Linked DNA regions of Saccharomyces cerevisiae S288C. The gene in region 2 interacts genetically with the main gene of each other region. Each region holds a gene or a part of one and is shown on either strand. Other genes may lie near its edges. The genes, in order: IOC4, ATG42 and FPR4.

The links.
Region 1: mutations in ATG42 (region 2) and IOC4 together harm fitness more than expected from each alone (negative genetic interaction), as found in Saccharomyces cerevisiae (2 studies listed by BioGRID).
Region 3: mutations in ATG42 (region 2) and FPR4 together harm fitness more than expected from each alone (negative genetic interaction), as found in Saccharomyces cerevisiae (2 studies listed by BioGRID).

Annotation. Positions count from the first base shown.
Region 1 is NC_001145.3:353,775-357,468, reverse strand, and holds IOC4 (Ioc4p), read right to left. Parts: upstream 2,086-3,694; coding exon 658-2,085; downstream 1-657. Other genes in the region: transcription factor MCM1, read right to left, coding at 2,738-3,598. UniProt on the Saccharomyces cerevisiae protein: Functions as a component of the ISW1B complex, which acts in remodeling the chromatin by catalyzing an ATP-dependent alteration in the structure of nucleosomal DNA.
Region 2 is NC_001134.8:513,704-517,768, reverse strand, and holds ATG42 (carboxypeptidase C), read right to left. Parts: upstream 2,106-4,065; coding exon 579-2,105; downstream 1-578. Other genes in the region: GTPase-activating protein IRA1, read left to right, coding at 1-419; YBR138C (uncharacterized protein), read left to right, coding at 2,433-4,007. UniProt on the Saccharomyces cerevisiae protein: Vacuolar serine-type carboxypeptidase involved in vacuolar zymogen activation, breakdown of the autophagic body, and autophagosome-dependent protein synthesis.
Region 3 is NC_001144.5:1,028,962-1,032,554, forward strand, and holds FPR4 (peptidylprolyl isomerase FPR4), read left to right. Parts: upstream 1-1,872; coding exon 1,873-3,051; downstream 3,052-3,593. Other genes in the region: 60S ribosomal protein eL6 RPL6B, read left to right, coding at 292-807. UniProt on the Saccharomyces cerevisiae protein: PPIase that acts as a histone chaperone. Histone proline isomerase that increases the rate of cis-trans isomerization at 'Pro-17' (H3P16), 'Pro-31' (H3P30) and 'Pro-39 (H3P38) on the histone H3 N-terminal tail.

The DNA.
Region 1 (3,694 bases), on a different chromosome or scaffold from region 2:
ATCATCTGCACGTATGCTATATCGAAACCAAAAAGAATATTGCAGACGTAATGACCAAACCTCTTCCGATAAAAACATTCAAACTATTAACAAACAAATGGATTCATTAGATCTATTACATTATGGGTGGTATGTTGGAATAAAAATCCACTATCGTCTATCAACTAATAGTTATATTATCAATATATTATCATATACGGTGTTAAGATGATGACATAAGTTATGAGAAGCTGTCATCGAAGTTAGAGGAAGCTGAAGTGCAAGGATTGATAATGTAATAGGATAATGAAACATATAAAACGGAATGAGGAATAATCGTAATATTAGTATGTAGAAATATAGATTCCATTTTGAGGATTCCTATATCCTTGAGGAGAACTTCTAGTATATTCTGTATACCTAATATTATAGCCTTTATCAACAATGGAATCCCAACAATTATCTCAACATTCCCCCATTTCTCAAATGATAATGCACAACAGACTTAGAACTTTAATTGTAATAATACAGCACAGTCTAGGTGAGTTTTGGACTATCAAAGACTGCGTCATACATATCAGAACATACACAAGTTACATAGTTTTAGTCTATTTTATAGTACACAGGTTTCCCCTCTATTGTTCAAAAGCAGAGTACATCAACTGCAATAGCAACAGGTCATGCTCCTACTTTGCTTTCTTCTTCCTTTACGTCTTCACTAAAGCTCGGCTTTTCCCGATCCATTTCTTCAATTTCCATATTTTGCTCTAGTTGCCAATCTTCCGTATCAGGTATGAACTGGTAGGAATAAATATGCTTGAAAATATCCTGGAAACGATCCCACAGATCCCATTTGTTCAGTTCCCTTTTTCTTAAGTTAAATAATATCCTAAAGTTTAACAGTAGGGAATTATTTGATTGGAAAATTGTTATAAATTCGTTTCTGGACCCCCTGGTGTCAAGGGCAATCTGCAATTCATCTAATATTATTTCGAAATCATCCTTTATCGAAACAGCCTGGTTAATGGCTGAACATAAGACATCACACAGGAGCTTGTTGATACCTGCTAGTTTATCCTCCAGATCTAGCTTAATCTCCACATGCTTTTCTAGATTTTTCTTCTGCGACAGTTTTTTCGCAATCGGATCCATCGTTTTTTCGATTGATAGATCTTGTGGGCCCAACCCAACAATGCTCCAATCTTCATCATCTTCAAAATGATATTTGATTGGCTTAGGTGGTTTAGGTTTCTCTTTCTTTGCCTTTGTTTTTGGATTTGGTTTAGTCTTGGATACTACAACTTTCTTAGTTTTGGTCCTTTGCGGCCTCTTTCTAACAGCCTCTTGTACTTTTTCCTCCTCTTCCTCCTCTTCCTCTTCTGAAGCATCTATCGCTTGTTGCCTAGTCGATCTAGTAACTCTTTTCCTTTTATTGCTATTACCGCCCTCACTCTTTTCCGTTTCTGAGGCGCGCTTCTGACGCTGTCTACTGGAAGACCTGGTTGGCCTTATAGCCTTTTTTTCAGGTTCGTTCTCTTCTTCCTCTTCCTCTACATATTCCTCTTCATCTGGCTTGCCGTAAGACCCATATTCCACAAATTCCCAAATATCAATTCCATTTTTGCCTCTCATAGCCATTTCATATGCCGGTATGAGTTTCTTATTCTTCCGCTGTTTGCCGCTTAGCCACTTACGACAATCTTCGCTTGTTAGAATCTTCATATCCATGGGCTTCACCCAGATATAAGAATCATCGCAAAAAAACTTGACGCAGTAAGTCGATTTCAACGTATCATTTTTACGAAACTTCAGAACGGGAGTGTATATTATAAATTTTTCAGGATTAGCCTCACTCTCACCAAAATCCTCTATATCTTCTTCTTCTTCGCTTTGCTCTCGATCTCTAGCCTCTGATTCCATGTCTGCATCTATATCTTCATTTGCTTTTTTATCACTACCTGATTTGCCTTTGTGGACACTCACAGGTTTGGTCTTGAGGATGTTATCTGGGATGAGTTCATTAGGGATAATCATTGCTGGCCATGCTGAAAAGCCTTTAACTTTGGCAAGGACAATGTCCGTTGGCTGGAATATCGCTTCAGACATTATCGGAGAATGACACGCCGTTCTGAAAAATGTAGTTAACAATTTCTTCGTCAATTCTTACTTTACCAATATTGATATAACGCTTAAAAAACTGGCAGCTACATGCGTAGATTTATTTCACTGTTAACGGGGAGCCACGATATTTTCCGTACACTCGTATAAAAGTATATAACTTACAATACTGGCAATGAAATTAGACCGAGAGGCATTTATATGGTAATGATTATACAACTAAAAAAAGATTAGCATTAAAAGCAATGTAATTAACATTATAATTTTTTTGGAAATGTGTGTATGTGAGTAAAGTATACAAGTTATGTGTGGTTTCTCATATTTTTATATTCTTAAAGTTTTATATTTATATTTTATATATCCGGGGAAGGAGAAGGGGAGATTTGATTGAATCTTCTTGCCTATGAAAGAAAGTGGCAGCAAAATGAAATGAGGCAAAGAAACAAACCAGAAGTAATCGTAAAAAAAAAGGTAAGTGCCGATGACTAAGGTACTTCCTATTCTTTTACCGACATAGGGCTTTTTTCAATATAGAGTAATGTACGTTTTTGTTCTTGTTGTCTATCTTTCTTTAATTGGTACGGAAACAGCTTTTTCCTCTTAATGCTCGTCTATGAATTATATACGGAAATCGATAAGATTAGTATTGGCCTTGTTGCGGTTCTTGAAAGTATTGTTGGTAGGCAGCATTCTGTTCAGCATTCAGATAGGGGGAGGCAGCGTTGGCAAAAGCCTGTTGGTGAGGCTGATGAATGCCGGTGAGGGGTTGTTGTTGTTGCTGCTGTTGCTGCTGTTGCAGTTGTTGTTGTTGTTGTTGCTGTTGCTGTGGCTGCGATTGTTGCGGATGTGGTATTCCTTGCTGTGGTCGAGGATGCTGTGACATTTGTTGCTGTGACATTTGCTGCTGTGGTTGTTGTTGCTGTTGCTGTTGTGGTTGTGAATTCTGCGTGTGATGTTGCTGCTGTTGAATCATTGAGTTTTGATTAGGATTGGCACCGCCTAGCAATTGTGACTTCACCTCTTGTTTCAGCGCGCCTGCCGGTACCTGATCTTGATTTAGATGGCCTAAGCTATTTGCGTGTGCATTCAATACTTGTTGCTGTTGTTGCGGTTGCTGTTGTTGTGGTTGCTGGCGTTGCATATCATTACCATCATCGTCATCATCATCATCATCATCACCGTCTTCCTCCTCGTCTTCTTCCTCATCATCAGGGGCGTTAAGACAGGCCTGGATCAGGTTTCTACCTTCCTGCTGCGTGACTATAGGTTCAAACTTCGGCGTGCTGAAAGTATATACCAAACCTGTTTCTGAAACGACTAGCAACAGGACCTGGGTCCCCGTTAGAACAGAAAGCTCAAACGCCTTTTTCATGATACCGTGCTTCCTTTTGGAAAATGTCACATGGCGCCTTGTTTTATTCTCGATGAACTTAATTTCTATCTTTCTTCTCTCCTTCTGTTGCCCATTATTAGTAGGCGTACCTTCTTCGATGTCTGACATTTTTGCTGGGTGGCTATAATATTGTTGCGTGACAGCAAGTCTTGCAGATCCAAAACTTTTTTTTGATTTTCGCTTCTTATTGCTCTGCACTAATTT
Region 2 (4,065 bases):
TATACCAAGGAGCACTTTTGTTTAGCTGTGTTATGTCAGACGAACCATGTAAATTCCGTTTTGCTCTATTGATGAGGTATTTGCTCAAAGTCAACCCTATTTGTGTATTCAGGTTCTATACGCTGACTAGAAAGGAATTCAGGAGGTTATCAACCCTAGAACAATCATCTGAAGCGGTTGCTGTCTCTTTTGAATTGATTGGGATGCTTGTTACACACAGTGAGTTTAATTACCTAGAGGAATTTAATGATGAAATGGTCGAACTTTTAAAAAAGAGAGGCTTGTCAGTTGTGAAGCCTCTGGATATTTTTGATCAGGAACATATAGAAAAGTTAAAAGGAGAGGGTGAACATCAAGTGGCAATTTATGAGAGAAAAAGATTAGCAACAATGATACTGGCAAGAATGTCGTGCTCCTAATTTTAAATTAGAGTATTGCAGTGATTATATACGTTTTTCCTTATAATTATATTTTGTTTTATATTTGTTGGATTGTAGATTTTAAATTAAATGAAACGTAGAGATTTGTGTAAAGTATAATGATTGCAAGGTTAAGAGTGAAACATTTTTAGAGCACTACTAACTAGCATTTTCCAAGGTGGAAAGATCCGAAAAAGCACGATTACCGGAAATCCAACTGTTGACCATTTCCAAACTTGCCTCCGGTTGATCATAGGGCACCATATGACCGGCATCGTATATTCTCAAAAAGGTGAAAGGGCCATAGTTCTTGACTTGTCCCAACTCTTCACCTGTTTCTTTACTGACCCATGGTCTTAACATCCTTCTCTGATACCTACGTTTATTGATCCATTCCAACTCATTGGACCAAGCATGGTTTCCCAGCCAATTACAAATATAATCCTTATCACCCGCATATATTAATACCGGAATGTTGTGATTTAATAATTCAGCAATATATTGTTGAAATGGTTTACTTCCATCGCCCGTAAACAAAAATCCGGTGAACACGTCATTATCACAGCCAGAATAATTATGCACGTCGGACCCTAGCGTTTCTTGAACTTCAGGAAAATTCATATACTGGTCGACATAGCGGAGACCTGTATAACACATACCATCAGTACTATTATCTTCACAGGGCCCTCTAATGTCATAGACGTTGAGTCCTGTGTTAATGTACGGTTCCAAAAGTGCAGAGTCACAGTAAGCAGTGGCGACTATGCATGGTAAACTTGATTTAGAAGCATAACATAACTTGTTCAACCTACGACAACGACCTGCAGCTTTACTCATTTTCTCACATTCTTCTGATGAGAGAACAGGGTGATAGCCCCCTTTCCCGCATGCCATTGGTTCATAATAATCTGCTTGAATCAAAGGGTCTGTGATACCATTACCAATCATAACTGAAGTTAAATTGAACGTTCTTTCAGGGTTCTTGACAACGATCTCATGTGCAATTTGAGGGATATAATGTCCTGCATAGGATTCGCCTGCAATGTGGAAATCGTTGGAGCGTAAATGAGGAAAAGCTTCAAAAAACAATTCCAGGAAAATGTACGCATCTTTGCCTGCTAATTTTGTAGAGGAGACTTTTTCATCACCATAGGAAAAGCCGACTCCGAGTGGCTGTTCTAAGAAGATCATTGAAGCGTTATTATTCCAAGAATAGGGATTGTGGATTGGTTTCATATCGGCGCCAATTGATGAGGGGCCTAGTTCAAATAGCAACCCAGTAAACGAGGAACAACCAGGTCCACCATTTAACCAAAGAATAATTGGGTCGTTAGCAGGATCGTTCCTACTTTCAAAAAACCAGTAAAAAAAGTGTTTGGAATCCTTATAGTCCATGTAACCCGACCATTGTTTTACGGTGTCAATTCCTAGTTTAGAAGGATCTACTGTTCTAAGTCTCAAACTGTAATCTGTGTCCACAGAAGAAATAAAAGTTGTAAACAGCGGATCATCGTGATTCAAACGGTCCAATTTAAGGGTTTGCTGTGTATTCTGTGGAAGCTTTAGCTGTTTATCCAAATTGGCAAAGGTGGTATCATCTTCAAAAAGAGAAAAGGCTCGGCCGAATGAGGCGTATTTGATGCTAATAAGAAGCTGAAGCACGAAAACTAAGTTTAGATACTTCATTGTATGTCGGTATCACTTTTTGTATAGCTGTTTTAAAGAAAAAATGCAGGATGACAATTTTCGTTCTTATATAACCCCTGTCCCCTGACATTTTTCGATAACGAAGCGTTATCTCACCTTTCGTAGAATGCTAGCGCCGCCTCGGCCATTTTTAGGAAATTTCCTAAATCGCTCACATTGTAAACAAGAACATCTTAGAGAACTCTAAGCACTTTTAGAAAAAAGGATTATACTAAACGAGTCAAAAACTATTTATCCAACAAGTCACAGATTGGAATAGTCTCGAAAACTTGATCCAACCACTAATTAAAAGGTTAAAATTAAAGGATGGAGAAAGATCAAATCCAGCCTAGGGTGTTGGAGTCAGTAGACACAAACTCATTATCCTTGCTTTCGTCCAATACCAGCTCAAATATGAATAGCAACACCAACAATAAACTCAGTATAATTGCCAGTGATATTTCTACAGGATCCGTACTTTCCAGGCCCTTGACTCCTCCAGTCGTCCAGGATATAGAGAATAACTCCATGTTACAATGGCAATTTGAAAAGAAGGAATTTATCTTCGATAGTAACAGCACTCCTTCGAAGCAGGCAAAACCATTGCAGAGAAATTCTCCATACCAAGGCAATAGTCAAAGTGAAAATCAGAACCAACAGTTATTGAATGTAAGAAAGCGTCGCTCACAATTGATAGGTGCCAAGCCTAAAATTCCATCCAAATTGTACCAATCTGTTTCCAAATTAGATCTAATTGATGACAAGAGCTTTACGTCTTTGCCAATTGCGCCTCCATGCAATATCGAAACTAATGAAGATGACAGTGGAAACAACGAATACAACAACAATAAAAAACGGCCCAGGTTGAATCCTGTAAATGAACTGCGAGTGCATAACAACAAACGTAATAGGTACGTCAGTTATGGGCCGAGTTTAGATACAAAAAACTACGAGCTAACAGAAAATACTTCTCAGGATATACCACCGCTAGTCCTGGTTGAAGACTACATACCGTATACCCAAAGTAAATCAACAAAAAAAATGGTATCTATTTCAGATTTGAAATCAAAACTAAGTAAAAGAAGAGATAATCATATCCCGCTGAGAGTAAAAAATTCATATTCTGAAATTAATAAGGAAACCAATAGAAATAGCTTTGAACCGAATTCACTAACACTGATACCCCATATATTAAGGAATACTGAAGAAAATAGGGACGAAAGTAACAACCCCTTAGATTTTATCAAAGAGGAAATTGAAATAAGTGATATTTCCATACCAAATTCCATTGAAAATATGGTGGTTAACTTGGTTAATATTCCATCTTCCAATAAAAGTTACGATGATCTTTATCTATCGGAATTAAATGTTCATTCCCAACTGAGGAAATGTGTCATCTGCGAAAAGGCCCTATATGAAATTAGCTCGAGACTTTTAAATTCAGGATACTATAAAGAAATTGTATGTGAGCAATGCACAGTTAGATATGAAGAAGCCGCTAAAATCTTTGAGAACTGCGAGTTCGAATCATCTATGGATGAATCAAATCTAAGCAGCGGTACTTTTAGTGATCTAGAGAATTCAGCAGAACCGTTTCATTTATCGACAGATGTTCCAAAAAAAATAAATAGGCACATAGAAGATAACAAGATCGACCTTAAAAAGGAAATATCAAAAAAAAAGGACAGCTTCTCTAAGGAACTAATAGAACGATTGCAGTTGCAATTGCTAGAAAATGATAAGTCAATCAAACATCATTTTAATAAAGATGCAATGGGCTCTAAATCAATGAATTGGTTTTTGGAAGCAAGAAGAAAATTGAAGTGGAAGTGGAGAATAAATGGTTTACTTCCGCATTTCTTACGCAATCAAAATAGTGATCGTTTAAATTTTCAACCTTGAAAATACATTGCTAAGAGATCACTAAAACAAACAGGACTGCATTGGTGCTGTGTATTTT
Region 3 (3,593 bases), on a different chromosome or scaffold from region 2:
AAGGGAGCTAACCTTTTAAATATGAACTGGACAAAACTGGACAAAATGAAAATAACGATTTTAGTAAAAATGAAAATATAGCATCAAATGACTGAGAAACATAGTAACAATAACTCATATTATAGCTAATCTGAGTAAACTTCTTCCTACGCTAAGAATTTTTTTGAGGATAGTACCAAACCTTGTGCTGAATCAGCACACGCCATGCCCACCATCAATTGTGCAAGAAAAAAGTAAACGAGTAGTATACTAACTATATATGTGATTTACATCACGATATGTCAATTATAGGCCCCAAAGTGGTATCCTTCCGAAGACGTTGCTGCCCCAAAGAAAACCAGAAAGGCTGTTCGCCCACAAAAGTTGCGTGCCTCTCTAGTTCCAGGCACTGTTTTGATCTTGCTAGCTGGCCGTTTCAGAGGTAAGAGAGTTGTCTACTTGAAACATCTAGAAGACAACACTCTATTGGTCACTGGTCCATTCAAGGTCAATGGTGTTCCATTGAGAAGAGTCAACGCTCGTTATGTCATTGCTACCTCTACCAAAGTCTCCGTGGAAGGTGTCAACGTTGAAAAATTCAACGTTGAATACTTTGCCAAGGAAAAATTGACCAAGAAGGAAAAGAAGGAAGCTAACTTGTTCCCAGAACAACAAACTAAGGAAATCAAGACTGAACGTGTTGAAGATCAAAAGGTTGTTGACAAGGCTTTGTTGGCTGAAATCAAGAAGACCCCATTGTTGAAGCAATATTTGTCCGCTTCTTTCTCTTTGAAGAACGGTGACAAGCCACACCTATTGAAATTCTAAATTGAACTGAAAAAATTATAAATGATTTAAAATAGAATTTCAAAACAAGGAGAATTGATAGAGAATGCGTTGATCTGAAAATACTGTTTGACAATAACGGAAAGGTAAGTGGATATGTAATCTAAGTTTAATCCTCTTCTAATTCATTTTTCCTATCAACATTATCTGTGCTTTTCTATATCCTTCTTTTTGTATCTATAATTTTTTTTTTCTCTTACATAGCAAAATACAAAAAATCATAAATATTAATATCTAAGGGTTCAAGATCAGGTCATCGCCGTTCTGGGCCACTAGGCTATATCTATTCATTTACATTGGAAGCTGCATGGTCTACTCCAACCGCACTGAGGCAAAGTCTCTGTGGAGGAAATGCTGTCCTAGCGAGCCATTGCAATAGGTATAATCAGAGTCGTCCTCCCAATGTGTTAACTTCTCTCAAAACCACCATATAAATTCTGTAACCTGCCAGCGATAATGTTATATATGTAAAAGGTAAACATACAACCCAATTTGTCCATACTAAGTGGATGCTGGGGAAGCAACTACAGTGCAGATGCTAAAGTTTGCTGCGGCAAATAATCTCAACATTTTTGTGATTAAACCTGCCTCAGTGGGGTGTATGATTAGTGCGTTGATATTTAATACACGCGTAAAAGTTAAGTCTGTTGTACGTTTTATTTCGAGTGACGAAAGAACTACGAATAACTTCCTGCATACTGTTGCCTTTTTCTGTATTTACGTATACTTTTATATCAAATAGCTTGGCCAAAAGAAAGTAGCATTGTGTATCAAGTCATAATTCTAATTCTTAGTTTAACTTCAGCAAAAATAATATTCTTCGTCAGACATTCTCATACAATCATTAACCCATATGAACGTTAAATTTCTCAATTTCTTGCCTTCGATGCCCTATGTATATTTTTATCTCAAACCCGAGGCAGTGAAAATTTTAGCTGGTGCATCGAAAAGAGAAGGGCATTGAAAATTTTACAGTGTTAAAAGAAGTGCTTTTCATGTTAGAATGATAAGAAAAAAGAAAAAGACAACAAAATATACGTCTCTACCATGTCTGATATGCTTCCATTGGCTACGTATAGCCTGAATGTTGAACCATACTCCCCAACCCCAGCTCTGAACTTCAAAATTCCGGTTACCATTAGAATCACAATGGCGGCCATCGACCCTGAGCCCTTTGACGATGACAAAAAGCCATCTACTTTAAGAATAATCAAAAGGAATCCTGAACTCACTCGCGGTGAGTACTACAACCAAGATAACAATGACGGCCTCGAAGAGGATGAAAGTGAAAGTGAACAAGAAGCAGATGTACCAAAAAGGAGTGTCAAATCAAAAAAAGGTAAGGCAGTCGAGCAAAGTGAATCAGAAGACTCTGAAGATGAAAACGAAATCGACGATGAATTCGAAGAATGCGTTCTTTTAACCTTATCTCCAAAAGGCCAATATCAACAAGCTTTGGATATTACCATTGCACCAGAGGAAGACGTTCAATTCGTCGTTACCGGTTCATACACTATCTCTCTAACCGGTAACTACGTCAAACATCCATTCGACAATTCTTCAGATTCAGACGAAGATGAAGAAGACTATTACAGTGACGAAGAATCTTCCAATGGAGAAGAAGAAGAAGAAGAAGAAGAAGAGGACGATGAGGAACTAAGTTCCGGTGATGACGATCTTGATGATTTAGTAGATGCTAGTGACATCGAAAGTCGTCTTGATGAATTAGTCAAAAAGGACGAAAAGAAGAAAAACAACAAGAAGGACAGTAAAAGGAAACATGAGGAAGATGAGGAAGAAAGTGCTAAACCTGCCGAGAAAAAACAAACGACCAAGAAAGACAAGAAAGCAGAGAAAGTTAAAGACTCGGAAGAGAGCAAACCAAAGCCAAAGACGAAGCTACTGGAAGGCGGTATTATCATTGAAGACCGCGTCACAGGAAAAGGCCCACATGCCAAAAAGGGTACCAGAGTTGGAATGAGATATGTTGGTAAGTTGAAGAACGGGAAAGTTTTTGACAAGAATACAAAGGGTAAGCCTTTTGTTTTTAAGTTGGGCCAAGGCGAAGTAATTAAAGGATGGGACATCGGTGTTGCTGGTATGGCGGTCGGTGGTGAGCGTAGAATTGTCATTCCTGCTCCATATGCCTACGGTAAACAAGCTTTGCCCGGTATTCCTGCTAACTCTGAATTGACATTTGATGTTAAATTGGTCTCCATGAAATAGGGTCCTTAATGCATACGTATTGATATATGTATCTATAATACTATATACAATTATCTATACTTCCATTACTAATATTATCTTTCAATTTTACATGTTTTTTTCTGCCATAAAAAAGCAATATTTTTTTGCGAGCTATTTAGTGATATAGCCGCCCAGCTACTTGTCGATGCATATATTGGCTGAGAGTACTAATACAATTATCGGAAGACCTCAAAGTAAAATATAGAAGCTTTGAGTAAAAGGAGCTCGAGTTTTAAAAATGACTTCGTAATATGTAAAGTTTATGTCATATATACTTACACGATAAATAGACCATTGATCGTTAGAGACGAGCGCATTGTTTTGTTGAATCCCTTTCAACAGCGCGACAAAAGTTAATCGAGAACAATAAGATGTTGCATTCAAGGGTTAGTCAAACATATCAGAAGGCCGTTTTCTAAATCACCTCAAGAACCTACCACACAGATACATCTTGAAGAGGTGGAGTACCAAAGGGAATATTTTGTACGAGCAAGTTATAGTAAGACACTTCAGTGAGAAAT